Linked DNA regions of Oreochromis niloticus. The protein of the gene in region 2 interacts with the protein of the main gene of each other region in a pairwise test. Links are inferred from orthologs where the notes say so. Each region holds a gene or a part of one and is shown on either strand. Other genes may lie near its edges. The genes, in order: epm2a and protein phosphatase 1 regulatory subunit 3C-B.

Evidence for each region.
Region 1: the proteins of protein phosphatase 1 regulatory subunit 3C-B (region 2) and epm2a interact in binary tests that used the Homo sapiens proteins (3 or more experiments, as listed by UniProt). The link is inferred for Oreochromis niloticus from reciprocal best matches to the Homo sapiens genes PPP1R3C and EPM2A.

Annotation. Positions count from the first base shown.
Region 1 is NC_031980.2:11,214,451-11,230,304, reverse strand, and holds the start of epm2a (laforin), read right to left. Parts: upstream 7,572-15,854; 5' UTR 7,345-7,571; coding exon 7,098-7,344; intron 5,758-7,097; coding exon 5,583-5,757; intron 26-5,582; coding exon 1-25. UniProt on the Homo sapiens protein: Plays an important role in preventing glycogen hyperphosphorylation and the formation of insoluble aggregates, via its activity as glycogen phosphatase, and by promoting the ubiquitination of proteins involved in glycogen metabolism via its interaction with the E3 ubiquitin ligase NHLRC1/malin.
Region 2 is NC_031978.2:881,942-897,080, forward strand, and holds protein phosphatase 1 regulatory subunit 3C-B, read right to left. Parts: upstream 7,284-15,139; 5' UTR 7,135-7,283; coding exon 7,121-7,134; intron 6,775-7,120; coding exon 5,751-6,774; 3' UTR 4,873-5,750; downstream 1-4,872.

The DNA.
Region 1 (15,854 bases), on a different chromosome or scaffold from region 2:
GCCCAGCCAAATACGTGGCAGCACCCTGGGGTCAATAAAAAGACGTGTACACTGATTATTTATTTGTATGTTAAAGTGATGATTATGTGCTAAATGTTCTAACCTTCGAACAAGGCATTTTCATCTCAGTTTTTTTTTAGATCCTACTAGCCAGACCATCCATTAAGAAATTTTCAAGTGTCACAGTCTCTATGTGTTTATCAAGTATATAATATGCATAATAAAGAATAAAGAAGAATGAAATGTGAAAACATGATTTAAAATCAATAAAGAGAGCCCAAAACTCTCAGTGGGTAACAAATAAAATAGGTAACAGAGGCTGATTGACAGTGAAATAGGTAGGACTAGGACTTTCAAGGTGCTCCTATAAGCAAAGCAATAATGACAGAGCTATCAGAACAAAGCTGACCCTTATAGGTCAACAGTAAGCAAAAGTGGTTCACTTATGTGTCATTGTCTTACCTTCTTCACACTGTTCCTCATGATGCTTTATTGACCCCTCATCCCCCTAATTTTCTTCCCGACCACTCTGGTTTGAGGCAGACTCCGCTGGTGTTCATTAGCATGCATAAAGTCAACAACTAGGACGTGACAGGCAAAACAAAGGCGACACCTTTAATACCTAACGTCCCAGAGCAGCTCTGCAGTGGAAGTATCTGGAGCTTAACTTCCTGTCACCTGTTCACCTCTGTTTTTCCCTCCCCACAAACCTCATCATATCACCGTTTAGTGATATGTCATATGTGGATGAATTGTGTGGAGTCTGGTTGTTTCCACTGTGCCTTCCTCTCATAGTACTGTCTATGGTACAAATTAGCAATTCTAAATGCATAAATTGCCCCTCTCTATTACCCCAGTGTTGGACTGGTTACCAGTTGACAATTGCTGAAATAGGCTGGAGCCCTCCTATGACCCTTGATAAGTGGTTAAGAAAACAGATGGATGGAAGGACTCTTATTATATGAACCAAGCAGCCAATATAAACTGAAAAACAACAAGTTGCGTATAACCTTATTTCTTGTTACCTTTCTAATGTGTCTAGCGTTTTTGCCTACTAGTTTATTTTAAAATGGAAACAAAAGATGCACTGAACGATTCTAAGAGTTTATTTTTTTTTCCTTTTCATGATCTCATACACTTAAAAGTGCAGGAATATCCTATCTTATGAGAAAGATGCCATTTTTGCCTCTGGTCTTTAGTTGTGAATCAAACTGAAAAACAAATGTCTCAATCTGTTGAAATAAAAATGATAAACATCATAAAAAAAGGCTGAGTAAGCCTTGGGCCTTCTCTCTAAATATGAGCTTGACAGATGACTTACCAGCTACAAAGTGAGTGGTCTCCCCGCGAATGTTATAATGACTTACTGCAGAGTGTGTGTAACACTTTGGGCTATATGGATGCAAGGTCTGAGAGACTAATTTAAAAAGCTATTAACAGGGAAGATACAAAGGCACAGTGCTTCCTATTGAACACAGGTCCTTGACATAAGCCTTGTAAGGTCTTCGGACACAAATTAAAACCTGATGGCACAAGCCAAGCCAGCTCATTCTTATGCAAGTTATGTGCTTGCTGCCTCAGGGGTCTGGGGCTAATTTCTGAAGTGCCTGGTATGCCATGGCACCGAGTCTGTGCCTTACAAAAGGAGGGCATGCACCGGTAGGCTGTGTAACTACTTGGTCTCTGCGATTTAAGACCAATATGTAGCCTTCATTGAAACATGGACATACGGTACTGTAAAAAAAAGGTCTTGAGCTACCCCAGGTTTCTTCGTATTTTGCTGGGAAAATGGGAAATGGTTGCGGAGTTTTATTGAAATGCTAAACATACATGGAAATACAGCAAATAAGGCAGAAACAGAGTTTGGATTTTATGGATGTGGCAACCTTTTGTTCCATTCTCTGTCAAGATGATTCAAGATTGCTGCAGTTATGTGGATATGCAGTGTTCTGGGGAGGCCAATCCATGGCTGATAGTCTTTTTTTGTGTCTCTTTCTATCCAGGTATGCTTTTACTGCATTGGCAGTGGGGTTGGGACCATTGGCATGCTGAAAAATGAAACTGCTGCTCATTAGATGCTTTCCAGATGATATTGTATGATGGATAAAGATCTGATGGTAGTTTCCTGCATTCATAATTCCATCAATGTTGATAAGATTCCCAACAACCAACAAAGAAAACCATTTCACATTTGGATCCATCACTCCACGGGACCTGTTGCCACTGACTGTAATTTGCCATACCTCAGCTTTAACTTCATTTTCCCTTCTTGATGGCCACCCTTCTATTAAGACCATCTTTAAGAAGCCTTCAGTTAACAGTCGATAGATCAACTGTTGGGCCTCGTGCATTTCTTAGGGCCTTTGACAGGTGTGTGCTGGATTTTTCTTAAGAACGTGACTTTCAGATACTGTTCATCAGGGTTTTTTTTATTTTTTAGGTCTGCCACTTGTTTTTTTCGTCATTCTCTAATCCAGTTTCCTCAGATTTCTGAAGGAGACATACAAGACTGGTTCATCCCCTGAGTTAGGTGCCCTTTTTATGCTTGAATGATTCATAGGTCAGTGTTAAGAGGCTTAACACTGACCTGACACGAGGGTCTGGCTCCTTGTAAGCAAAATATAAAGAAATGAAGGATGCCTCAAGACTTTCGCACAGTACTGCACATCCTTCAAACTATCTAAAATAACTTTTATTATATAATTTTATAATATTTTTTATGGCACCAGCTCTTAGGCAAAGGACATCTACAGAAGTTTCATTTTCACTGGCTACAACCTGAACATGAAATGAGTAGCAAAAGACAGAAAATGTTCTGACAACAGGTGTTGGAATCTTATTTGCACCTATTTTGACCCAAGAAAGGATAGTAAGTCAACACTATAAGATTAACTTTCTTAATATACATATGTTTAACAATACACTTGTACTTAAAAGTTCATCTTTTACACTTTGACAGTTTTAAACCATCTTGAAATCCAGTTTAAGTAATGCAAGAGAATAACATATCAGTCAAGTAGCCGGCGCTGTATGAATTGCCTTAGAAATCCAAATGAATTCTGAACGATGCCATCTCCTCTCTCTTAAGAACCCAAGCAAGGTTAAGGAGGTGATAATACAACTGCTAGTGGTCTACCTTTTTTATGGGCAATCATTTTAAAAGTGACAGAGCAGTTATAACTAAATGAGGAACGGCAAGGTTAAAAAACAAAGACGAGAACCAGGCTTTGTCTGTCCTGTAAAGAATGAAGGTTTTTAAACTCAACAACTATCAGGAAGAAAGGGTACTGTGACATGACTAATGCTGAAGTACTTCGAAAAAATCTTCTCTGACGTTTTAGTGTCAGAATGGAGAAGAAATTAGGCGTTCATGGACAATACAGATGAAAGCACAAGGCTCGTTACTGAATATGCTTAAGTTTGAAAACTGTAGGAAAAGTGTAAGAAGACAGGGTGATGCAATTCTCAAGGTTGTTCAAGTAACTATTTGAGGGCATAATTTTTAAGACACATGCCACAGAGTTATAATATCCAAGGCTCAGTTTGCAGCAGAGGGACCTCCCACCTTTTTCTTTTTGGCCTTGTTTTGGCTTCTCTTAAAACTGCAGACCGACAAAAGAAGGCAACATTACCAAAACTTAATTCTGAAACAAAGAAACAATCATATAGATATTAATTTCCCCCAGAGGAGCTAACTAATTTTTATTGCATTATTAGGCAAATATTGCAGAAAAGATTAAAAAACCATTGCATTTCATTATTACGTGTATGCATGTGTGTGTGCGTATGTGGCTGAAGAGGAAGTGTGGTGTTGGGAGTGAGCGGTGGGGTGGATCTCCATTTGTATATGCTCCAGGCTACAACACGAGTGGCAATCTGGAAGTTTTAGACATGGTGTAAAGAATATATTAATGTCCAAATGGCTAAAAATCACAAAGAACCCCCCAAAGGAATACTTCTATATTTCTGAGAAGATGTTTTATTCACTTACTTGCAGAGAGTTTGCAGAACAGATATATAAATCATTCCCACATCTGTATATTAAACATGGAGCTACTTTCAGTGAGGTGAGACTTGTTTGAAACGCAGATGGACCACAGGTGACTCTCAGGCTCTTTCCGAGGGTAACAAGATGTGTGTACTAGCACCTCTACACCTCAGGTTATTAAGTTATAAACTACACCCTATTTTCCATTAGGTTGCCAGATTGACTTTGCTATACTTTTTTTTCTTTACTGCTGGCTTGAGCTGGCTTTTGCCTCATGAGTTACATAGTTGGATCAACATTCGCTGTCATCCCAATAACACCATTTTCAGAGAAGGAAGCTCCGTATCAAAAGGGTCTGGGGCGCTAAACTAACCTACCTGCAGCCCAGACCTGTCACCCACTGACAACCATGACATGTTATGAAAATATCCAACAGGCTTGTTCTTTAGCTCCTCAGACAGAAACCTGTTAACTGTTCTCACTTTATGCTTAAAGAGAAAGGAGGCGTTTGCTGTTAGAGCTCCTCAGAAGTGGAATGACCTGTCTGAGGAAATACGCATCGCCTCATCTGTGGCTTCTTTAAATCACTGTTCCATTTATATTGTAAGGCTTGTTTTTTTAAAATCTTGTTTGACCATCTTCTAATGTAGATTTCAGATTTTTTGTCATTCTTAGCTTAACTTATATCGTTAATTTCTATGTTAACGATATAATTACAATGGAATCACATTGCTTCTTAATCTTAGTTTGATGTTGCACTTGAGTCAAGTGGGTTATTTTAATAGAAATGCCCATTTTTGTGCTTTACAAATAAAATTTATTATTAATTTCAAAGCTGCCACAGTTGATTTCTCAGATGTAACAATTATAGAGAAAAGATGCAACACAGAGTAAAAGAAATGTGTTTTAAAATGGTGATTAAAGAGCTATTTATTAGCTTCTTGCTTAATAATTAACATTTAGATACATTACTGGGTAATAGTTCCTCCAGATGGACCAATTGTGTCCATCTGACCTTATTGCTAGCATCCTTCACCTTTACTTCAACATCTGTGGTCAGTTTGGCAGCCCCATATTCACCATTCTTTGTCCACTATCCCTCGTCTGCTCACGTCCAAACCACCTCAGCCTTGCCTCTCTAACTTTGTGTTCAAACTGCTTAACCAGAGCTGACCCTCTGATATACTGATTTCCACTTCTGTCCATCCTGGTCACTCTTAATGAAAATCTTAGTATCTTCATCTTTGCCACCTCCAGCTTGGCCTCCTGTCAATTTGTCAGTGCGACCATCTCTAAACCATACATCACAGCAGGTCTCACTACCATCTTGTAAATGTTCCCTTTCAGTCTCGCTGCTATCCTTCTGTCACAAACATCAATCACCAAAATAAATAAATAAAATAAAATAAAATAAAACCAGCCTTTCCTAACCCACTGAACTGTGATCATCAAAGAATTACTTAGTAAAAGTGCAAAAAACTTTCTTTACCGAAATTGTGAGAAGTGTACGAACGCACAACACTGCAAATTATCTTATATTAAGGCTCCCTTGATTAGAACATCATGCAGAAAGCATGTATATGTACTGTATTACCTGGAGAAATGCATGGCCTTCTGACCAGCCACACTGAAATAAAAGTTGGTGGTGTGCCTCATCTCATCTGTGTGCCCTGTTTCTTCTATCCAGTGGCCGATCGGGTGGCAATACACGCCGTCCACCACATTCTTATCATCATATGTACACCATCTGTCATGGCTTGGCCCGCTTCCTGGTGACAAAGATGACAAGCAGGTTAATGCACATAAATCAGGGACGTCAAACTCATTTTCAACAGTGTGTCACATGTGGCCCAGTGTAAAGTTTAGCTGAGATGTCTTGAAATATGAAACAGATTTCAACAGTATTTCTCAGTTTTTCTACATGATAAAGAAATGGTGTTGTAGTAAATGAAAAAGAAATGTGTCAGCATGATTTAAACTGTATGACAAAAATATGTCAAATTACATAAAAATAGAAATGAGTTTCAGTTTTCTGGGACCATTGTAAAAAACATACATTTCTATAGTAGATTGTAAACAAACAAACAAAAAACAGGCACTTTTCAGTTATTTAACTGTTAAATAACTTAATTTCTGTGATGTACTATAAATAGCCACTGGGGGGGGAATTCTTTATCAACAGGAGAAGTTGTAAAACTTATAAGGATAGAAAAAAAAAGTCAAAAATTTACGCCCTGCTTCTTATATTCTAAAGCTATCCAGTGGGGCAGATTGGAGTATTCACCGGGCTGATTCTGGCCCCGGGGCCTTATGTTTGACACCCTTGTTATAAACTGTCCAACCATTGGCGTAACTTTGTGCTGAACATTGGGTGGGTCAAGATCTCTGTCTAAATAAATAGATAGATTCCTAGATGATTAAACATGCAACTATTTTGCTGGTAATACCTGAAACGAGTAAAGAAAATCAACAGCCTATTTATGCAAGATAATTCATAATTTTATTGGGGGGGGGGGGGGGGGGGTATATTGGTTGGGTCTGATTATTGGGGGGGGGGGGGTCATAACCCCCTAACCCCCTGGAAATTACGCCCCTGTGTCCAACATTAAGACCATATGACTAATTTCAAATGAGAATCCTTTTATCCATTTATATTACATCAAAAATATCATAAAATTAAATATGGCTTGCATGTTAAAGAAACTTTCAGAGGAATCCAGCATTGCATTACTGTGCATTCATTCCTGGGTGCAGATGATGAAGTATAAATGCTGAACTCTAACTGTAAACCGTTATATTCACATGCTGAATTTCAACTGTTAATTTAAAATAAAAGACTCAATAGTTTTTTCGGATTTTTCAGAAATATTAAACTTTTTTAGGTTTGCAGATACAATGCAATTTGTTAGCCACTGAACATTTAGTGTCACTTACCGCCATCATGTGGCACTATGAAAACATTGCACTATAGCAACCAAACATGGCGCAGTCATATTTATGTCTCTCCCCGCTAACCTTAGAATAATTACAGCAAATCTGTGAGACGTTTGGAAAAGCGTCTACGTGTGAACCAGATGTGATGCACATTAAACCAGAAGTGCACAGGTACCTTCCCAGATAAAGGTGCCTCTGACTCTTTGGATGAACTTGAACCACAGTGTGTCTCTGTGGGGCTCGGCTAGGTGCACCTCACCGATCCACAGACACGGTTCTGCGGGTGACGGGAGTTTCTGTGTGGCTTTCATCCGAACCGCTCTGTTCGGGTCCCAGTTCCCCATTTCAGCACGCGAACCCAAAACAAAGACGTCGACCTCCGAGGACTCCGGAGTGAGAATGACGCCGAATCTAAACAACATGACCGCAGGCTTGCCTAAATCTGTTCAGCCGATTGGTATGGCGACCTTATGGGTTATTATGGCCTATAATGTTATAGCAGCTATTGCGTTACATTCGCGACGCTGTGACTGTATGGTGTAGCCTAAAAATAACCGGGTGCAGTTGGATAGTTCAGTTTGCAGCAAAGACAAGAGAAAGAGAATGAGGTCCCACTCTGCCAGGATTATCGGGCACCTTGCAGAAGCCACGTGAGACTGGACAGCTCAAAATACTGCGCTTCAGAAAACACATTACTCTCTGGGCAGCATCTACTCTTAAGGGAAAAGTATTATATTTTCTATACATTCATTTTCTTTTCTTTCTTTTTTTTACGTACTTTTGTAGTGCAATAAAAAAGGAAGCATGACAGATGGATAACATCTATTGCTTAATAAATAACTGGACACTAATAACTTAAGTTTATTATATAATATTATATAACAGTGCATTTCTAACTACTGTAGGCAGCTCATTATATTTCTCTTGACAATACTTTTAACTAAAGATTTTTAGATTTGAAAGAAAGGCAGACGTGAAGTGCGAAAGTGAGATCAGAGGTCAAATGTGACATGATTTTTTTTGCAAACTATAACGTGATATTTAGAAAACCCAGATACCAGTATAATTTTCTAAATGTGGCACTTGAATTTTAAGTACAGCTTTAAAAATAAAATTTGTTTGACCTCATTCGAACTTGAAAAACAGGTAAAAAAAGAAGAAGCACAAAGTAATGTGATATTTAAAAACAATATTTAGAATAGGATTCCCTCTATGCTTGTAGTTTGTCAGCACAAACATTGGCAGTGAGAAACATAGTTTTAAATAGCTCTACATAGCTTTATCATCACTTTGGCCTTCAGATCAGCTATTGACCGAGAACAAGTCAGAGGTCAAACTTGACACAATATTTAACATTTTTATATAGTACATTTTATGTGTAGACAAAACCACCACACTGGTAATGGTAAGTTCTCAGGTTTTTTTGTCAGTTTTTAATCCATAAATTATTAAGTTGACCTTCAAAACTTTGGTGGATATTTACTGTATGCTTACATTTAAACATGTAGTGCTTCTAGAGGTCACCACAGTGATGCTCCACCATACCTGCTCTCCAAGTAAAGAAATAAAATATTTACATTTAGCTAATCTGGTAAAAAAAAAAAAAAAAAAAAAAAAATTAAACACATCTTAAGCTGTTTGGTGTGGTTGTGATTGTTGCCATTAGGTGTTTTCATTTATTTGGAATGAGAGAAGGTATTACCAGAACAAACACATGCCAAAACTTGGGCTCTGTCCTCTAATCCTTCAGAATCACCCTGCATGTATAGGGCTGAGATCCAAATATTTCTGGTCCTCAGTAATAATAACAAAAATAAGAAGAATGACAAAATGCTGGTTTTATACAGAGTAGAAGTAATGTGGTGCACGAGAAGGAGGAGAATCCAAAGAAAAGCAAGGATGCGTGTTAGGCAGCCAGGTTCTGTGTTGCAGTGAGCCGATAGGTTTGCAGTGCTTCAGGGTTTTAATCACATTTCTACTCAGAGATTAGGCAATAACAGAAACTTGAACAAATCCTGCAGCAGAAAACGACACCAGCAATGTGTGCATTAATCACACGGCACAGTAACTTAATTAACAGAGGTATGCTCAGGACCTGACTCGACCCTAAATGGTGATTTGTGTTCTTCTACACACATCTTTTAAAGTAGAAGAATTTTAATAAAGCAGCACTTTTCTAGATGAATCCTGCCCTTTACCTGCCTCTAGAGAACAGCTGCCTCTAAGACTGCACAACTAGCTTCGATTTCAAATAAAGAGGGTCAACCTTATAAACTGTATTGATTCTTCTTTAGCCGTCTCTTGAGCATGTGTAAAATCTGCACTTACATAGTATTCAGTTTGTTAGATTACTTGTTTTTCCCTTATTAGATCTGCTCATTTTTGACTTGTGGATGTGCTCTCTTGTCAGTAGAATTTAGGCCATCATGCACAGAATTTGCCACTCATCTGACCGGATGAAATTATGATCCGTACATGCAGTTCACCATTTGATCAGTTAAAGCTGAATAATTGTTGTACACTGCCACCATGCATGCTATATGCTGTACATGCACTGTGTTTCTAATACTGCACTTTAGAAGTGACCAACTCCTCTAATGTGAGCATCCGCAGTATATGGACATGCGTGCAATTGGTGGCAAGGATCAGTTTGTATAATCAAGAGACTCTAAACACAATCCCTCTGGAGAATTCATGTTTTTCACTATACCTGTCATGGCTTTTGTGTTTAAGTTATATTCCATGATTATTTGTTATTCATGGCTTTGGTTTTGTTGATGGTTTTCTGTTCATGTTATATTTGTAGTTCCAGCTCCTGGTTTCAGTAACTGTGTCTTCCCTGTGTTCTATGTTTCATATCCAGTCAGTCATGTCAAGTCTGTGTCTCTGAGTCTGCGAATGTCTTGTGCTTCCTGTTTTACTTTGAAAGTCCTTGTCTTATGTCTGGGTATTCTGCTTTGCTTCCTTTGTCTTGTTATGTCTGATTTGTCCCGGCTGTGTTGCCACCTTGTTCCCCAATCGCTCGTTGTCCTGCCTGTGTATTTAAGCCCTGTGTCTTCCTCTGTCTCAGGTTTTTATGTTTCATGTCCTGGGTTTCTAGTCCCAGGCTTTTGTTCCTTTGTATCATTTTTTAGTTTCACCCAGTTTAGGTTTTGTTTTAGTTTAGTCACTGCCATGTTTAGCTCTTGCTTGTATTTCGTTTTCCCCACTGTAAATAAAGCTCTGCGGTCCAAATGCCTGCACTTGGGTCCTTTCTCTCACCACTCCACGTGTCTGCTCCCGCAGCCGTGACAATACCACATTAGAATAATCCACCTTCCACAAATCTGTTGCTCTTCTTTCCACATGAATGTAAGGTTTAAAAAAAGTGTAAAAGCCTGTAACTATTCAATAAAAACACTAAAAGTTTTTCGGTTACAACCAAAAAACTGTTCTAGTACTAAAATACCTTGTCAGGCATCCGTTGTATGAATTAACCTCCTACCATGCAGGTTAGCCTGGTGCTGCCAGCTGACACCTTTCTTAAATAGTTATGCTGTTCTCTATTTTAATCAGGTTCAGATATGTGGAGGGTACTTCAAGCTGAGAGTTTCTTCCTGTAATTGCTTCACTGAGTTTGTACAGCTGGGCTTGAAACTCCTTAATCATTTGCTTTAGGGCAAACTCATCAAATCGCTCTTCAGCGCACTGACCCACGAGAACCTGTAAAGTAATGAAAAAAGGACAACCGATTTAGTGATATGATCTTTAAAAACCTGAATTACAAAACCTTTTTGTTACATCTGGCCATTCTCTACTTCACAGTTTTGGCCTTTGATCAGGGACCTCAGTTTGTACAAATACCAAACATCTGGTCTTACCTTCATGTCTGGGCTTATTAGTGAAAGCAATAAGCTTTCACAATAAGCAATAAGTGTCCATGGATGAAGGAGTTTCAGTTAAGAATTGTGACCAGAACCGTGATTAAAAAAATATATATATGTATATATATATGTATATGTTGTTTTACTTTTTTTTCTTTGGAGGTGGTGATTTTGGGGGGAGGGGCTAGTGAGGGTTGTGCATCATGGATTGATAAAATGTAAAACTTAATACATTAGTGCACTTCTGAGAGAGATGTCGAGCCATTCCTGCAAACTCCACTGTCTCTCCAACATTTGGGAGAGTCTCCAAAATTGTCTGCACACACAGCAAGAGCGAGCCATTGGACACCCAGGAGTGGTAATCAAGCTAGATAAAGAAGTGTTGAGTAAATAAGCTTCACAGCTGTGCACACAGCTTCCTCTGGAAATCATCAGGAAATCTCTGGACTTTAAATTTAGCTTACTATAAAATGTGATCTAAAATTGACAACCTGTATATAAAAGATGTTTTAATTGAAACACTTTATGCATTTCATTGCCCAACCTGTCTATTATTGTTTGCAGCGAGTTGACTTGTCACTGTGAAGATCAGCATTGTGATGAACTTGATCACTCCCTCAACAGTATAAGTATGCTACTATAAGTATGGATCTGGTGGATCCTCTTTTGAAGCTCTGTGTCTTTTTGCACGTCGCCGTCTGACGGATAGTATTAATCCACTATATTCCTCACAAAGCTGGCAAAAACATGACAGTTTGACTTTCAATGAATCTGACATCACTGCAGCATTTTTAAATTAAGAATTAATCACCACACTCCCAACAATGTGCAAGACTGTTTATTAATGAATTAATTTGTAGATGTTTATGTAATGCTTGAATGGATTTCCTGAATGACATGGCCTCCAGTATTACTGTGAATTGCTGAAATGAAGCCATCCTGCCTCTGAGTGACAAAGTAGTTTACTACTCCTTTGCTACTCTATTATAATTCTTCAGAGTCAGGCTGTCCTAAAAACGCTCCGAAAAACCTTTAGCGGATCCAAAACACTGCCCTGAGAGTACTCACCGAGACTCCCATATTAGCTTCTACTCATTGGCTTCCAGTTAAATCCAGAATTTATTTGTTTACCAGAGTTTGCAAAAGAATAATGGCAGTCAGACCTTTTAGCTATTAGATCCCTCTCCTATGGAACCAGCTCTCGCTTTGGGTTTGAATGGCTTTTAAGACCAAGCTTTCTTTTTTGATTAAAGTTAATATAACAGTTATGCGTCTATATGCTTGAGCACCTCCCATTTCTTTAGTCCTCATGCATTTGTCACAAATTACCTTTTGTCTACTTTCTCTTGTAGCCCATCACCCTATACCACCCCACCCCATTTATGGCTGTCTTTATGATCCATTTATTTCTTTCCCCACCGAGTGACACCATATTATTGCCCTTTCTAAATCTAGTCTTTCATCAAGTTCATACTTCTCTACTTCACCCTCGCTACTTTACAATATAAAAGTGCCTAAAGACAACTGTTGTTGTTAACTATATAATGATTGAAAAAAAAGTTCAGACTGTAGCAGTTTTCATACTCTTAATTTAATGCTGACCTGTTGATGATGCTCCACAGCGTAGTAGAAGTTGGGGATCAACTGCAGTCTTCATGCAGTGATGTTCTCTGGCAGGCAGAGGGAGCTGCAGGAAGAGAGACCCCGTCTCATGAGCTCTTTTATCCCCTCATATCCAAGTAAACTCTGTTGCTAATCAGGTGTTAGTTGAAATTTCTAAATATATTGCATAAAAAAAGAGAATCCACACATTGCTTGAAGTCCCATCAGGTCCAAAAATAGTTGTACACAGTATTGATGTGCAAAGTGTACCAGAAGTGTGGGATCAGTAGCTGTACACATAGAAAGTAATTATCAAAGTAAAAATTTGAATAAAGATCAGGGTAAAGTCCTCTATATGATATAAAATGATATAAGTAATATAGAAACATCACTATAGAAGGGTTTTATAGTGTATCTCACCAAATTTTACCTTGTAGAGAGGATGGATCTCAGGGAAGGTGCGGAAAGTAGCAATAGCAAAGACCTCTGCCAGATAGTGAGTGCTCATGAGGTGATTGACTGCTTGATGTTCCAGTAGATCTGCACTTTTAATAAACAGCTTGGCTAGCAGCCAGTCTGCCTCAGAGTCACTGGGCAGAAAGATGGGGTTCTGCTCAGAAGGCTGTAGATGCAGCTGTAATAATAAATATATTGAAAGATATTGTACTAATGCTTCTGAAAAAACCCTAACCATTCATAATGCAAATTTTCACTAGTATCTTCTGTATTTACCGTCCTGTTGGAAGACATCTGAAAAACAGTGTGGGATGTTGGAGCAGCAGTTTATCGGCAGCTGAGAGGAAGAGGTTGGATAAACTCATTAGGAAGGCCAGCTCTGTTCTGGGATGCACCCTGGACCCAGTGCAGGTGGTGGGAGACAGAAGGACTCTGGCCAAAATAACATCTCTGATGGACAGAGTCTCCCACCCCATGCATGTAAATGTTGCTGAACTGCAGAGCTCCTTCAGTGAGAGATTGCTGCATCCTAGATGCATGAAGGAGCGTTTCCGCAGGTCCTTCCTCCCTGCAGCTGTCGGACTGTACAATCAGAACTGCTCCCAACAATCATAGATGTTTACATCTGCGCTGTAACTGCAATAAGTTAATCAACCGATTCGCACTACAACCTGGTTTGCCTCTTATCTGTAGTTATTTATATTTAATTTAATAACTGTACAGTACTCTGTTTATAGTAACCATTGTCCTTAATGTAAATATGTAAGAAAAAATTGTGTATGTTTCTGTTCTGTGTCCTGTGTACTGTTTGTTTGTATATGTGTCTTTCTGGCTGCTGTTACAACCAAATTTCCCCTTGTGGGACAATTAAAGGATTATTCTATTCTATTCTAAAAGCAATAACCGTGCATTACCAAACCCTGAACTGCCCCTCTTCCTAATCTTTGGCACATGACACGTCACCGCCACACCACCTCCTTTGTGACTGGGATTTGGGGGAAGTTCTGTGCACCTCTTGATCCCATTTGGGTTTATTGCATTCAAAAACTGGAATCCAAAAAAATCATCCTCCTTCCAGTGCTCTATGACATACTCTGGAAAAAGTTAGCAAACAAAGATCTCATATGATAGGGGACTTTTTCCACAGTTGCTGTGGTCAAGTAAAAACCTTTGGTCCAACATATTCTGCTTTTCTCATTCAAGTTTTTTCGTACCCTCTTACAATGAAGGACAACTGCATTTACGAGAGAGTGGTTAATAATGAATTAGATTTAAAATAAAGTGGGTTAGAAATGTGAACCTCCTGTTGGTTTGCTACTTTTGTCCTGCTGGCTAGCACAGCTAACCTTAGCTAAATTCATGCTAGCTAACAAAGATTGTACAAACCTGCGTTTATTAGCATATAAACAATTTCTGCTTTATGACAGGGCTAGAATTGTCATGTGACTTCAATGTCTCAATTAACTGAATAGACACCTGTTAAGATGGATTATAGCAGACTACAAAGCATTTTTATTACAGCATAACACTTTTAGAGGGAAAATGTAGCATTTCCTATACCTCTACATATGTTAGCACAAACCTAATCTCCCACATACTGACTATTAGTCTTTTTTTACTTAATGCAATGGGTAAATTCTTTAATTAGCCACTCCAGTGTGTCTGTCTGCCTTTGCTAGTGAAAGCCTGGAACGGAGAACAAAGTTGCAGTCTTGGTGTAATCTTTTTAGGCCTTTCCAGAGAAGGTACACCACAGTTACACTGGAATTGGCTTGTTAACCCTTGTATGGTGTTCAGGTCTGTGAGACCCATGCCATTTAGAGGCCGTTGCCCCTTTAGGCAGTATATACCATCAAAACCTGCAAAATATGGTATAAAGATATTTACACTTGATTATAACTGATTTTATTTTTTTTATAACATTTTATTTAAAAAAACGAGAAGCACATTAATTCATAAATGTGATCGAACAAAGGTAAAGGGAAAAAATTAACCATGTTTGCTGTTCACATGGCTCGTAATTGGGATGAAGTAAACATCTGTTGAGTAATTTAACATAAAATTGTTTGATAGTGTTAATTGGAAAGCCAAAACGCTAGCGGGTCCACCAGACCCATGAACACTGGCTGAGTAACAAAAATACGAACACCACACAAGGGTTAAACTGAAATCAGTTTTCCAAGAAACAAGTGGTTAGGTTTGGACAGCTTTTTTCCCTTAAATCTGTTTCTCATTACTGGAAAACAGTACTGGTCAGGCAAGATGTTTGTTTCGGGTGTGTTTTTCTTCTCTTCCAAGATATCCACCCCCCTCAGGCATCACCTGGAAAATAATCTGATTTGTGATAAAAGAAAGCTAATCTTAAAAAGCTACAGGCTTTAAAGTCACAGTCCTTATTTACAAAATTCCAAGATTTATTTTGAGAATCACTGTCTTAATGTTCAGCTGAAATTGTCCACTCCCCTTTCTGTTCCACATAAAGTGATGTATATGTGGTCTAGTGACAACAGCTCACATGCGTAATGCGTGCAAAGGAAAATTAAAACATACAGCTTTACACAAAGCGTGATTGTTCCCACCGTTCTGTCGTGAATAAATTTCCTTCTTTGTGGTTGTTATTTTTAAAGCCAGTTTGTGTAGTGTGTCAGGTTTGCCTGCAGGTCTGTACCTGCATACTGGGTTGGTTTTTTTTGATAATTTTTCTGTTTCCCAGCGTTTTTACACTGTTTGGCTGATCCCTTTGAGTCAATTCTGAACCACATAAAAAAAGAAAGTGAAAAAATGTATATTGTACAGTGCTTAACATGATTGTTAAGCCATCTGTCATGAAAACACAAAATAAATATTTTAGAAATTTCTCAAAAAGTTGTTTAAAATTAAGAATTATATTGTTATTAGGGAAATAAAGTGAGTCCACATTTTTATACCCAAATTTTAGCCAACACATTGGACTTGAATCAAGCATATTTTTTTTCTGTTCAGGAATACGAGTAAATAATAAAATTTGGTAT
Region 2 (15,139 bases):
TCTGACAAACAAAATGATTTGCTGTGAGGTTACTAACAGACCATGGAAGCGGTTTGTGCTACAGTTTTAATGAATGAAACTTGGGTATATGTTTCCTGGCAAACATCTGTGTTACACCCATACAGCCTATCATTGTAAATCCAAATCTCAGATATGGTCACCTTTGACACTAAAAGCCAACCTGGTACAAAGGTTTTCTTGCCAAAAAAGCCCTGATCCATCGTTGCATGGACTCCACTAGACCCTAAAGATGTGCTGTAGATCTTTGAAGTCCTGTAAGCTGAGTGGTGGGGCCTCCGTGGATCGGACTTGTTTGTCCAGCACATCCTACAGATGCTCGATTGGACCGAGATTTAAGTCAACATCTTAAATTTGTTGCTGTGCTCCTCAAACCATTCCTAAACCAATATTCTGTGCCAGGGTGCATTATTCTGCTGAAAGAGGCCAGGTAACACCGTCACACTGCCTCTGATGGCTCTAGTGCATTCTGGTGCCAGGTGTTCTCGAGGTAAGCAACACACACGCACCTGGCCATCAGCGTAAAAGTGATTCATCCGACCGGGCCACCTTCTTCCATCGCTCCGTGGTCCAGTTCTGATTCTTTCATGCCCATTGTTGGTGCTTTCGGTAGTGGAGAGGGGCCAGCATGAGCACCCTGACTGATCTGGTGCTATGCTGCTCCATACACAACAAACTGTGATGCTCCGTGAACTCTGATACATTTCTATAAGTACCAGCATGACCTTTTTTGGCAATTTGAGCTCCAGTAGCTCGTCTGTTGGATCGGTCCACACAGGTTAGCCTTCGCTCCACACATGCATCAGTGAGCCCTGTCGCTGGGTCACCACTGTTCCTTCCTTGACCACTGCAGACTGGGAACACCCCACAAGAGCTGCAGTTCTGGAGATGCTCTGACCCATGCTGTGAGGAACCTTGGAGTCATTTTTGACCAGGACATGTCCTTCAACGCACATATTAAACAAATATTTAAGACTGCTTTCTTCTATTTGTGCAACATCTCTAATTAGAAATATCCTGTCTCAGAGTGACGCTGAAAAACTAGTTCATGCATTTATTACTTCCAGGCTGGACTACTGTAATTCATTATTATCAGGATGTCCTAAAAACTCGCTGAAAAGCCTTCAGTTAATCCAAAATGCTGCAGCAAGAGTCCTGACAGGGACTAGAAAGAGAGAGCAGATTTCTCCTGTTTTGGCTTCCCTTCATTGGCTTCCTGTTAAATCCAGAATTGAATTCAAAATCCTGCTCCTCACATACAAGGTCTTAAATAATCAGGCCCCATCTTATCTTAATGACCTTGTAGTACCATATCACCCTATTAGAGCACTTCGCTCTCACACTGCAGGCCTACTTGTTGTTCCTAGAGTATTTAAAAGTAGAATGGGAGGCAGAGCCTTCAGTTTTCAGGCCCCTCTTCTGTGGAACCAGCTTCCAGTTTGGATTCGGGAGACAGACACTATCTCTACTTTCAAGATTAGGCTTCAAACTTTCCTTTGTGCTAAAGCATATAGTTAGGGCTGGACCAGGTGACCCTGAATCCTCCCTTAGTTATGCTGCAATAGACGTAGGCTGCCGGGGATTCCCATGATGCATTGAGTTTTTCCTTTCCAGTCACCTTTCTCACTCACTATATGTGTTAATAGACCTCTCTGCATCGAATCATATCTGTTATTAATCTCTCTCTCTCTTCCACAGCATGTCTTTATCCTGTCTTCCTTCTCTCACCCCAACCAATCACAGCAGATGGCCCCGCCCCTCCCTGAGCCTGGTTCTGCCGGAGGTTTCTTCCTGTTAAAAGGGAGTTTTTCCTTCCCACTGTCGCCAAAGTGCTTGCTCATAGGGGGTCATATGATTGTTGGGTTTTTCTCTGTATGTATTATTGTACGATCTACTGTACAATATAAAGCGCCTTGAGGCGACTTTTGTTGTGATTTGGTGCTGTATAAATAAAATTGAATTGAACCCAATCAGCTGACCGTCACAGTTTGACCATCATCAAACTACCTCAAGTCCTTATGCGTGCCCATTTTTCTGCACCAAACTCCTCAACCTTGAGGCCAAAATGTTCACTTGCCCCCCTGATATATCCCACCCACTGACAGGCGTGTTATTGACATCACCCATCAGTGGTCTAATGTTATGTCTGATTGGTGCACAAGATGTATTTTGGGCACAAGCCCAGGGGTCCACATCACTGGAGGTTATACAAATATGAGGACTTTTATTTTAAACTTCAGGTATTGATGTTTTTCCTCATCAAAATAAACACATTTGTTTGTTTTTGGATCATAACAGACTGATGATAATATTTGGTGAGAAAGTAGTATCATGTTTTGAAAGAAGGCAGGAGGACAGACACTGAGGACCTCCGGAGAGCAGAGGAGGACAACAGGAGAAAGAGGAAGGAGACAACACCTTGCCAGTTGAAGGCTACTTCCCTTAGTTATATCATTGTTTGGCAAAAAATGCATAAAAAAATCTATAGGTGCTTCATTTTCCCCTTTACATCAAATTCTGTCTGACATGTTCTGATGTCTACTTTGCATTTTCTGGGAGGTAAGTCACTACCTGATCACAACTCTTTCCTGCACCTGAATACATGGTTGATTTTTGTCCAGTCAGAACATCGCTCACAATGAAACCTATGATGCAAAGCTGTAGTGAGTAATCAGTTAGTGCCGAAGGGTAATAAACGTGTTATAGAGAGGTTATGCAGCCATTTGGTTTATAAGCTGGACTTACTGTTTGGGCTCTGCTGTAACTGTGTGTCAAAATTTATCACAGAAGTTAGAAATGATGGAGAAAGACTCATAATAAAGTGCAGATGCGGTGTTCATAAAAATTCTTTCATTTTCATTTGCTCGCTTGAATTTACCACTTCTGTCGAGACAGAGTGCAGAGGAATGTAAACAGGAAAACCAAATGAAGAAAAGGAAATGAGAGTAGGCTGTGCAATAAAAGGGAACACAGTGACAACGAGCGTAGGAACCTACACATGTACACAAACGGAATGAAAAGCTGATGGGCAGAAAGAGTTTTTGTGATGATCCTTCAGGAAATTACAGGTTTAAAAGGAATGTGGATCCACGTGCCAGCAGGTGGAGGAGAGCTGGAGCCCAAAGCCAGGTTGACTTCACGATCAAAGCGTCTTCTCAAGCTGATACTGGATCAGCTTTTCAGTTTTTATGCCGTAAACCCCACAGTGAGAAATGTAGGAGCAGCAGTGAAGGTCAAAGTGAAATCTGCACAGATCACCCAGCTCAAAGAAAACGAAAGCTCCACACAGTACATGTGCATGCAGAGTGGGCTTGAGTTCACACGTCCACTCAGTTTGTTTCAGATTGTTTCATTACTAACAGAAAGGATTTAAAGAAATCTGATAAACTACGTCTTGTAAAGAGTTTTTCACACTTCACAAAGCTGCATTTTTTCCTAAATTTAGAACAAAATGTAAAGCATTTGGCCTTGAACACTTCAGAAACATGTTGTATAACCAGAAACTCACTCCGGATAGGATCACCTTGGCCTCCAGTAACAGTCTGAGGAACGCTTGGATACTTTTTGAGGAGGATATGCTAAAATAAGTTGTACAACTGGATAACAATAATTTGATGAGCTGAATCTGCTCTGAGTTACTGCTTTTACCAACACAGTCATGGGATAAAAACATCACTGCCTTCATCCACGGTGTGTCACGGTACTGTATCGTGCTTTGAGTAGAGAGTTTTCTTATGTAAAAGCTACACATGAAAGCTAAAGATGCACCCCAAGAGTTAAAGCGTGATAAAGAGAGAGAATATTCCGGCTTCATCCTGATCCAGCCTGAGGACTTTCCTTTGTGCATGCCAGCCGGTCACCATTCTTCCTGCTGAATATGAATCCAGCACGAGCAGCCGCACGGACAAGTGAAAGGAGGGAAGCGAAATAAAGACCAAATTCCTGCAGGCAGCTGAGGCGTGTTCTGTTTGTAGTCACTCCGAATGTACAAGAAACTCATCTGAAGTCAGTGAAGCGAGTCACACGTCCTGAACGCAGTTGATCAAATTAAGGAAGCTGTTATTTGAAACTGAAACTTGCATGTATGATATAATGCATGGACGAATGCATTATGTAGATCAGTGAGGATTGACTGGTCATTGTGATTAAGCCGGCTTTAGCTAAACTGCATCTATGGGAAGATTTTTAGTGTATACAGGGGACATGATACCAGTGACTAAAAGCCTTCAGGCTCTTCAGACCTGTGTTAAATCCATCTGATGTGACAGAGATGGATTTTTAAAGTAAAACTATAGAAGAAAATCTGTAACTCAGCATGACTATTTACAATGTTGCATATAATAAAGTCTTGCCGTACTTTCCCTTCTTGTTTTGATTGAATAAAAGCCCCGCCCACTCCCGGTATAGGCACACGTAAATTATTCATCTCAAACGTTTGTAAACACACGCTTATTTTCGCTGCTGTGTTTACAAACATCAGTTATGTAATTGGAAGAATAGAGTATTAAACTATTAATAATATTTATGAGATATTTAAAACCAGCCCATTAATCATTTTGACGAGCTGAGGGTTTGAATTCCTGTGGTGCATGCCGCTCACAAGCAGACTATATTTTATACTTGTTTGCATGTAAACCTTGTTTTTAGGAGTCTTCAGTGTAATTGCATGAAAGACTGACTGTAAACGAAACCACAGAGAAGCTACTGGGGTTATGTTTGTTCCCGAACACACGTCAAAGATACCAGCGTTTATTTCAAAGACAGGTCTGGACTCGTAACATTTTAGCACAAATATAGAAATTTATTTCAAAAAGGAAATACATAACGACGTGGTGCGCGTCGGCGACACACGCCTTCAAGTGATACACAGAATGCCGGGCACACAGCTTTCTTCAGTGAAGAAAAAACATAAGCTGTTTCAAAACAGAAAATTCTTGATTCCAGCCACACATACTGTACACTCATCTTCAAGAATTGCACTTCTGAAAGCAAACATTCGCTCTTACATCATTTCTTTCTTGACATACCAGAACCACAGACGTTTCCAAACTTCTTCCCAGTTAGAAGCAACCACTCACATGCAGCGACTTTTCTTGAGACACAATAGCAGCTCAGTTCCATAATCATATCACCACTCAAACATTTTAGCAGACAAGTATGTGCAATTTACATGGAGGGAAAGAAAGGGCGGCATGACTTAAATATTACAGTTTAGGCCATTTTTAATGTCCAAACGTTTAGTGTGCATTTTTCATTAGCAATGAATCAACTGTGTTTTCTGTAGTAGAGAAGCATCATTGCGCCATGCACTCCCCATATTTCCCCCTTCAATATGAAGGACTTGATCAGCTCCATTTACAGATATCACATTATTAGGGAGATCTCAATCAGTGCTTATGTTACCCAATCCATCAGGCCCTCAAAAGGGGGCTCCCCATTTCTCTTGGATTGTACAAATAATTTGTATTTTAGTGGGCAGGCACAATGAGAAGGCACATGAATATTTTACAACAGGAAACCCGAAATATTCGTCATTCTCCACTCATATTTCATCAATCATTCATCATCGTCCTCAATCGTTACAGCAAAAACCAGGTCAGTTGAGAACATTACAGCTTCAGTTTAGTCTCTGGCTGCGAGTCAACCCACAGCTGGACTCGTACTGAATGCCCTGTCACCGTCTGTTTGTCTTATTGCGCTTTATTGCCAGTTCAGCAAACATGCTGCAGGTTTCACCAATAAGGCACTGTGTTATCGATCTGACCCCAGCTCTGCCAGCCGGGAAACAGTCCGCTGGACATGCGTGGGCTGCCAAACTGATCGAACTCGAGCTCCACTAACTTGACCCCCTCGTTTTTCTGCTCTGGGGACTTTTTCTGCTCAGCAGAACCGAGGGAGGGCCGAGTGTGCAGGTCCTCTCCGTTCCAGCCGATGTGCTTGAGCACATAATTCTTGCCATCATTATTGTCCCAGAAGGTCTGGCCCTGGGTCTTGAAGCAGATGCAGAACTCGACCCGATTATGCGGCGGGATGAAGGAGGGCAGCTCCAGGACGAATGCGAAGGTGTCGTTGTCCTGGGAGCTGTACACGTTGTTCATGAAGGTGCAGTCGATGTCGGTGAAGCTGACCCACGAGTCGTAGGTGACGCGCACCTGCACTGTCTTCTCAAACCCGATGTTCCTGACCTTAATGGTGCCGGTGAGCGAGCGCTCCTGCAGGGAGCAGCTCTCCAAGCAGACCGAATTCTGGATCAGGCGGTTCCGGAAGTCCAGGTAGTCGGCGGAGGGCTGCTTGAAGTCTAATGCCAGGCTGCGAACCGAGCTGATCTTTAGATCCATTGTGGCCGTTTCAAGGTCTGTCATGTCGAACTGCAGCTCGTCTGTGATTGCGTCCAGGTGCTTGCTTTGATATGGCTCGTCATCGAATTTGGAGAAGACGTGGATGGCGGTGAGCGACATGCCCTTTGTGTCTGCAAACACCACTCGCTTCTTGCCGGCCTTGCTGTTGTCCCAGCCCACGCAGTTACTGTCATCTTTCTGCTGGTTGCTGAGGCAGGGTCGCAGAGGTTTGTAGAGCTGCTGTTTGCGGTTATGGGTGCTGGACCGGTTTACCCGGTTCTTGGCCCTCTGCAGGTCCTCATAGTGGCTGAGGAAGCCTCGAAGAGGAGGCGGAGAATGGCTGATGTAGAACCGCATAGCCACATCCATCGGCATTACTGGGCCGGGCATCGCTGATGGACTGAAAGATCTGAGCACACTGACGGAGGGAAAAGGGGGAAAGAGAGGTGATGAGGGAGAGGATAAAAGTTCAGAAATTTAGAGAAAGTTTCAGGGAGATGAAAAGAGAAAGACAGGCGACATTAGAATGATGGCTAATCCAAACAAATATCGCTTAACTTATCAGCTTTCAGCTCTAGTTTGATAAAACTCGTTAGCATGTCACCAAAAATGGTTGTAAAATCCACCCAGTTTCAAAATAGCTTTACTTTATGCACAGTGAAAAAAGCGACGCATCTATTTAATCCTCACAAGGATGGCGTGACCTACTTTTGCAAAACCTAGATTCTTTTATGTTTTCCTCGTTGTTTGTCAGTTAGGCTTACCTTGTAGCACTCATGGAATAAAAATAGAAGGCTCCAAGGAAAAAAGTGTTTTTAAAAGTTCTCAGTTTGACTTTTGAAGTTTGCAGAGCAGCTTTTCCTAAGAGTGCATGCTGCAGTCACTCCCCCTTTTCTTCCTACTGTCTCGCTCTCTTCCTGCCTTTCAGTGCCTGTGCTGCTCTGCACTCAGGGATTTCAACTGCCACATAGAGATAATTAGCATATTCAGTCATATGGTTCCTGAAACAACCAATGGGAAGTAAGTGGAAATCTAAGCCAGCCAATCAGCTTGAGTTTGACCTGGCTGTCAGCCAGCTGATAGGGGTGTGTGGCCCTGCGTGGGCCTCATGGTTGAGATGCCTCTGCCTGTTGCCTCAGCTGCTATATGAGAAACATGACGGACCCCTGCTGGTGTTAGAGATGATTACTCACTGCGGAGTGCAGCATATCCCCCGTGGCTCCTCCTTATCGTGACTGGGATTCCCTTTACCCGCCACAGCAGGGTTATTCATGTAAGAGCGAATGCACCGAGAGGAATCTTGAAACTGATATCTGGCTTGTTTAATCCAACACAGGGATCCTTTGTAATATATTTTTATATAATACAGAATACAAACAAATTGGAAAGGTGCTGTTGCAAGGCACCGTCTCACAGTGTTTGGTACTTTTGACCCAGAATTTCAATCGGAGAGCACAATGTCAAAGCCTGAAACAGACTGTGTATAAAAGATGGACAAATCTGTAGTGCTGTTTCCAAGTGGTTCTGAAGTTCGTTGTTTTTTAAGGGTAGCTTAATGTCAGCTAACAGAAAAGCTGTATTCAAAGACTGTGTGGGTACATTGCACAGGCACAATAATTAGTGCAAGGTAAGAACTTCACACATCAAACCTGAGGCACCAACAGTTGCAAGGTCGATTTTAGTGACTTGAATTAGTCAAGGTGAGGCCTGCAAGTGGGTGATTTTTGGCTCGGGGCTTTTTGCCTGAGGCAAAGGCAAAGAGAGAAAAGAAAAGACTGACAACAAACAATATAAGATTAAAATCACAGCACTGTGACGCGTGTGGTTATTGTGATGTCCGTAAGCTGATTGTGTCGACACAAGTCTGGTAAGCCTTGTTTGGGCGTAAACTCTATTTGTGTCATCAGTAACAGGAATATTGCCCAAAACAGCATTTGTGACATCTCTGAGAGCTTTTACATGTTGCTGTTTTAGACTATTGTTTTGGGTCACCCAGACTGACCTCCCCTGCCGAAAGCCCGAGAGACCAGCCGAGTTTTTTGTAACGGTCTCTATAAATGGGTGGTTGCAGCTTGGGAATAACTACAGATAATAACATTGTTTTTCTTATCACAGGTTTAGAAGTGTGAAAGTGAATTTGAAAGATGCCAGTGTTTGTTAGTTCATGCCGTGCAGCACCGTAGCTTCGACTCTTCACCTAAACCTAACCATTGTCATTTGATTTAGACATGAGGAACCAAAGTTTTAAAAAGTGTAGCCATGAAATGTGGATAGAGCAGAATCATGTTTATACTGTAGCTTTCAGTGTAATCGTACTGACAGAGAAGTGTTGAGAAAGGCTCACAAAAAGTATCTCTGGTTCCTCGTACTCACAGTTGTTGCTGTTTTCACTTTCAGACATTTAGACTGAGATGCTATTTTTAAAGTTTTATCGATTTTTCAGCCGTGGGTTAAACATTACCATCTGAAAGGTTTGATTAGACCCATCAAGAAGGATTTTTTTATCAAACACAGAAATAGCTAAACCCCAGCTAATGGCTTTATTCACGTTTTGGTTTTTTTTTGTTATCATTTGAGAGGAAGGTGAAAATTTGTAAACTCTGCTTGTTCCCGAGGCCACAGCAAACCAAAATTAGGGGAAAAAAAACTATTTGAACATGCTCCGTCCACCTCAGTTCTCCAGATTCTTCCGAACGAGCCTAAAATTAAAGATCTGACTGACTTCTTGCCTTCATCCACCTGTAACTACACCTGCTACAGTGTGAGAGAAGACACAGTTTCCAGTTAGAGCGATGCATGTCATCCTGTGTTCTTCAGGTCAGAGGGCAGGATTCCTCCTGAGGCTGTGGGGTCTCCCCCCTTTACACCGCCTGTGTACGTCTGAGTCTCCTGCAGAGAGACTTTAGACTCAAAGTGACATCCACGCCACTTTCACATGGGCCTACAGACAACAGACACTACTTATCACAGCCTTATCTGTCTAAAGGTCAATATTAACACGGCCTCGGGATTGCATCAGAAAATAGATTTCTTTATATAGAAACATCCAAATAAATGTGACAGATGGAAAAACCCAAATAAAGTGCTATAAAGAAGGCAGTGAAAACAGTTCAAATAGCAGGTTTGCATAAGAGGTTAAATAAAGTTTTTATTATGGTTTATTTATAAAGTTTCCTGAAAGTGTGAAGAGCACATCTGACTTTTTTTTATATCCACATCAACCAAAGAAAATTTTATTCATATTTTCACTCAAAAGAAAAGAGAGAAACAAATGTGCTTCATTCTTTGGGCGTGCTCCGTTTGTGGTATCGATGCAGCACATAATGTTTTGACTCTAATGATCATGCAGTGATCATGCCTGAGCTGGAGCTCTGGGTCCTGCACTGTGGAGACAGTTCAATATGCTCAAGGTTTCTGTCCGTTATCTGTTATTACCATAACATGATATTAGAAAAGACTGAAGAAGTCAAATATACAAAATAGACTAAAGGTAACTCAGCTGCTGCTCAGTTACCTTTAGTATCAGTTATCTTTAGTCAGGTGGCAGATCAAAAGTTTAGGACCACATGCCTTTAAAAGGCCAAATCTGCGCAAACATGTGGATTCATTGTCATTTTTATTTTTTACTTTTTATTTTTGAATAAAAATTAAAAAAATTAATTTTTACATTTTTACATTTTTTAGAATGTAACCTTGATGGTCCTGATGGTTTCCAGTGTTACTGGCATGACAAGCAGAGCAGATCCCAGCCGAGATGTTTTCTATGCCCCACAGACGAGGCAGCGCCATAATGGCCTGGGGTGCTTTTTCCTTCAGTGGAACAATGGAGCTTCAGGAGGTGCAGGGGTGTCAAACAGCTGCTGGCTATGTCCAGATGTTGCAGAGAGCATCCCTCATGACTGGGGGCCGTCGTCTGTGTGGTAACAACTGGGTTTTTCAACAGGACAACGCTAAAGTACACAATGCCGGCAGGACAAGGGACTTCTTCCAGGAGAATAACATCACTCTTTTGGATCATCCTGCGTGTTCCCCGGATCTAAATCCAGTTGAGAACCTTTGGGGATGGATGGCAAGGGAAGATTACAAACACGGACAACAGATCCAGACAGGAGACGCCCTTCGTGCGGCCGTCTGCACCACTTGAAGAAATGTTGGATCAGCTGTAAAACAGCCTGTTTCAGTTTAAGCGTTGTTTTCAATAAATTTCATGCTCAAAAAATGTTTTGTCTCACTCCCATTTCTTCTTGTTGCTTGTTGAAGCTCTACTTGGAACCTTGTTAAGATCCAACCATACAAAATATGATTTTTTGCCATTTTTCAAGCAGTTTTAAATTTTGATCAGGACTGTATAAAAACAGAATTCAAACACTGGCTTAGTTTATGTAAATTAATAAGCAACATTTTAATAAATTTTATCTAAGGTCAGCAAGTACACATAGCTGCTCTATTTTAGCATGCTTATAGAACAATAAAATAGTTTACTGCCAGCAGGGAAAAATCAAATCAAGGAGTAAAGTTGTATCTAAGAATCTATATTTATTACTAATCAGGGATACACAGAGACACTATTAAACCCTCATGTCATGTGTATTCAGCAGTCTGAGGGATCTTCCTGGTACGGCAATGCTGCTTTAATTAGAACTGATTGGTGATTTCTACTCTCTAAAATTACCTGCTCCAGAGCAAGTTAGGTTCACAGTCTTGAAGTAAACCACTGAAAAGCCAAAGTTAACCCCGAAGTTGAGATGAAATCCTCATTTGAAGCTCAGGCCTCTGGGATATAATAGAAAATAAGGATTAAATTAATAATATTACAGCGAGCCTGCAGCTGTACAAGCTCAAATTTAGGTTCAATCACATTATGAAAGAGGCGGATGGGGTCAACTGTATTACCACTTTCCTTCAGGTGAGTATTTTGTGGTCACAGCTGCTTAAACACAAGAAACTGCTACAAAGTTTCACAGGTAGCAGTGTGGTGATCGTTGACCGGTGCAGAGCGCATTCAAATCACGGTTCAGAAGCGGCTGGTTGTGGCTTCCAGCGTGAGCAAGAGATGGAAATGATTCTGGCAGGAGGAATGAGGGGCGTTACAAACACACAGCTGATTATGGCTGCTGCAACATTTCACCAACACTGGACTCGGCCTGCGTTCCTGACACATGACTCCGATGATACCACACTACTGCTCAACACTCTGGTCTCATTTTGATCTTCATCTGTTAATTAATGTTGATTACCCAAGTCATTTAACATTAAAGATATGTTGTTTAATATGAATTCAACCTAAGTGTGCGAAGCTGAATTTGTAGCAAATGCCCCTCCTATGTTCCAATAGTACAGGGAGTGCAGAATTATTAGGCAAGTTGTATTTTTGAGGAATAATTTTATTATTGAACAACAACCATTTTCTCAATGAACCCAAAAAACTCATTAATATCAAAGCTGAATGTTTTTGGAAGTAGTTTTTAGTTTGTTTGTAGTTTTAGCTATTTTAGGGGGATATCTGTGTGTGCAGGTGACTATTACTGTGCATAATTATTAGGCAACTTAACAAAAAACAAATATATACCCATTTCAATGATTTATTTTTACCAGTGAAACCAATATAACATCTCCACATTCACAAATATACATTTCTGACATTCAAAAACAAAACAAAAACAAATCAGCGACCAATATAGCCACCTTTCTTTGCAAGGACACTCAAAAGCCTGCCATCCATGGATTCTGTCAGTGTTTTGATCTGTTCACCATCAACATTGCGTGCAGCAGCAACCACAGCCTCCCAGACACTGTTCAGAGAGGTGTACTGTTTTCCCTCCTTGTAAATCTCACATTTGATGATGGACCACAGGTTCTCAATGGGGTTCAGATCAGGTGAACAAGGAGGCCATGTCATTAGTTTTTCTTCTTTTATACCCTTTCTTGCCAGCCACGCTGTGGAGTACTTGGACGCGTGTGATGGAGCATTGTCCTGCATGAAAATCATGTTTTTCTTGAAGGATGCAGACTTCTTCCTGTACCACTGCTTGAAGAAGGTGTCTTCCAGAAACTGGCAGTAGGACTGGGAGTTGAGCTTGACTCCATCCTCAACCCGAAAAGGCCCCACAAGCTCATCTTTGATGATACCAGCCCAAACCAGTACTCCACCTCCACCTTGCTGGCGTCTGAGTCGGACTGGAGCTCTCTGCCCTTTACCAATCCAGCCACGGGCCCATCCATCTGGCCCCATCAAGACTCACTCTCATTTCATCGGTCCATAAAACCTTAGAAAAATCAGTCTTGAGATATTTCTTGGCCCAGTCTTGACGTTTCAGCTTGTGTGTCTTGTTCAGTGGTGGTCGTCTTTCAGCCTTTCTTACCTTGGCCATGTCTCTGAGTATTGCACACCTTGTGCTTTTGGGCACTCCAGTGATGTTGCAGCTCTGAAATATGGCCAAACTGGTGGCAAGTGGCATCTTGGCAGCTGCACGCTTGACTTTTCTCAGTTCATGGGCAGTTATTTTGCGCCTTGGTTTTTCCACACGCTTCTTGCGACCCTGTTGACTATTTTGAATGAAACGCTTGATTGTTCGATGATCACGCTTCAGAAGCTTTGCAATTTTAAGACTGCTGCATCCCTCTGCAAGATATCTCACTATTTTTGACTTTTCTGAGCCTGTCAAGTCCTTCTTTTGACCCATTTTGCCAAAGGAAAGGAAGTTGTCTAATAATTATGCACACCTGATATAGGGTGTTGATGTCATTAGACCACACCCCTTCTCATTACAGAGATGCACATCATCTAATATGCTTAATTGGTAGTAGGCTTTCGAGCCTATACAGCTTGGAGTAAGACAACATGCATGAAGAGGATGATGTGGACAAAATACTCATTTGCCTAATAATTCTGCACTCCCTGTATGTGTTATCCAGTGTAAAGATAATCATGTTAAAAGGCTAAATGATCATGAGAAAAAACTTCTTCCCCAAAACACTGACAAAGCTGTCACATAATTGTTGTGTTGACAAATTTGGCTCCTTGAGTTGTTTGCAGTTATAGTCTGAAGAAAAAAAATGAAGGCTATTAATTGTGGGAAGTTAAATGGTATTTATGTAACACTTCTACTACGAGCACATATTTTCCTATGCTCACTTTTAAACACAAAAAATGCAACTCAGGGTTCACGGTTCTTGTCCAAGAATACTTTGACATGTTTTGCAAAGGCCTTTGCAAGCCGCTCTGCAACCCTCCTCCAGTTCTGAGTCAGTCAGTGTCACGGTGCCTGGGCTCTTTGTGCACAAAGGTACGTATGGCCCACAGCGGTCAACTGGGTGGAACTTTGACTGTGGCATTAAACAAGTACTCCTCACTGGCACGCTATTCTTTGTGAATCTGTGGACAGTTGATTTCATGTTCAGCACTTTAATTCCAGTCATTCTGTTGGAGTTGTATTGGTAACTCACTGAAGCGTCATTTAGTATTCATAACCAGCCACTTTACAGTACATTGGGTGGAAGGGTTGGGTGAGCTGAATCAGACTGAACTAAATCGAGCTGTCAGAACTGAGTGGACTCACCGTGATACTGAGAGTTGAAACAGAAACTAAAAGAAACTTTGGTCTGCGTCTGGACTTCTTTAAGTTTCTTGAAAACATTTCACCTCTCATCCGAGAAGCTTGTTCAGTTCAAAGAGCAATTTGGGCGCGGGGACAACCCTCTTGGGGACATTCCCATAGGGCAATAAATGACTTCAGTCAATACTACGAGTCACGTTTGCTTGTTTCCTTGTTTTCTTTTCTCTGCTACTGACAGTAAATTTTCTCCCTTAGGAAGAAAAGGAGAAATCTCAGTAGAATTTCAAAATGTCAATATTACATCAGATCTGAAGATAACAGGAAGATTGAGACACTTTCCCAACCACAGAGTGAGAGAGAGCAGCAAACAGGAGAGAGCTTATGACACGCTTGGCTCCGGTGTGATTTCCGGGCTGCCAGCTGGCGCTGTTAGTCTTCACGTAAGGCACGCAGACAAAAAAGGGATCAGGAGAGGCTATCAGGCATACTTAATAGCCAGCAGTCATCACATGATGCAGACTTCTCTTAAGATGCTGACAGGTTTTGAGGTTATGTATGACTCTGTTTAAGAGGCTTAGATACAGCATACCTGCATGAGAGCCAGAATAAAAATAGTCCTGGTTTATTTCATTTTGAGACTCAAATTCAGTCACATGGTCAAGTGTAAATGGAGTCAGGGTTTTTTTCCCTATTACTTAACCGTAACATCTTCTTCAGTTTGTTTCGAATTAGAAATGCAACCTAAACTGTATAAATTGGGGTTTTATTGCTGCCGCGGAGAAATAAATCAACAAATGTGAGGCAGACCTGCCCAGAACTGCAGGTCTGCTAACTGGCATTCAATGCTGCTCCAAAAGCAGGTTATTCCTCGAAGAGTCCAATGTTAGAATCATAAAGAGGATAAGTTTCCATGTTGGTAGGCCTGTGTAACTGGGGCTTTAACATTCATCATTTTCCCAGCGACTGCCATCAACATCATTTTCCCTCACAGCCGGTGGTTGCCAGACAGTCATTATTAATCCAAGTTCTCGGCCTGTGTGACTGGTGCCTTATTCACTTGACCCTGCATCCTCAACATCATCGTCACACGTCCAAAGTGGCAAGCTAATGTCATGTGATGTGTAGTCACATGTCTAAAGAAAACCCTCATTACTCAGTCGAACAGATCTCAGAAACTGGGAAAGAAAAGTAACTTGTGATTGATTAGATGGATGGATGGAATATACA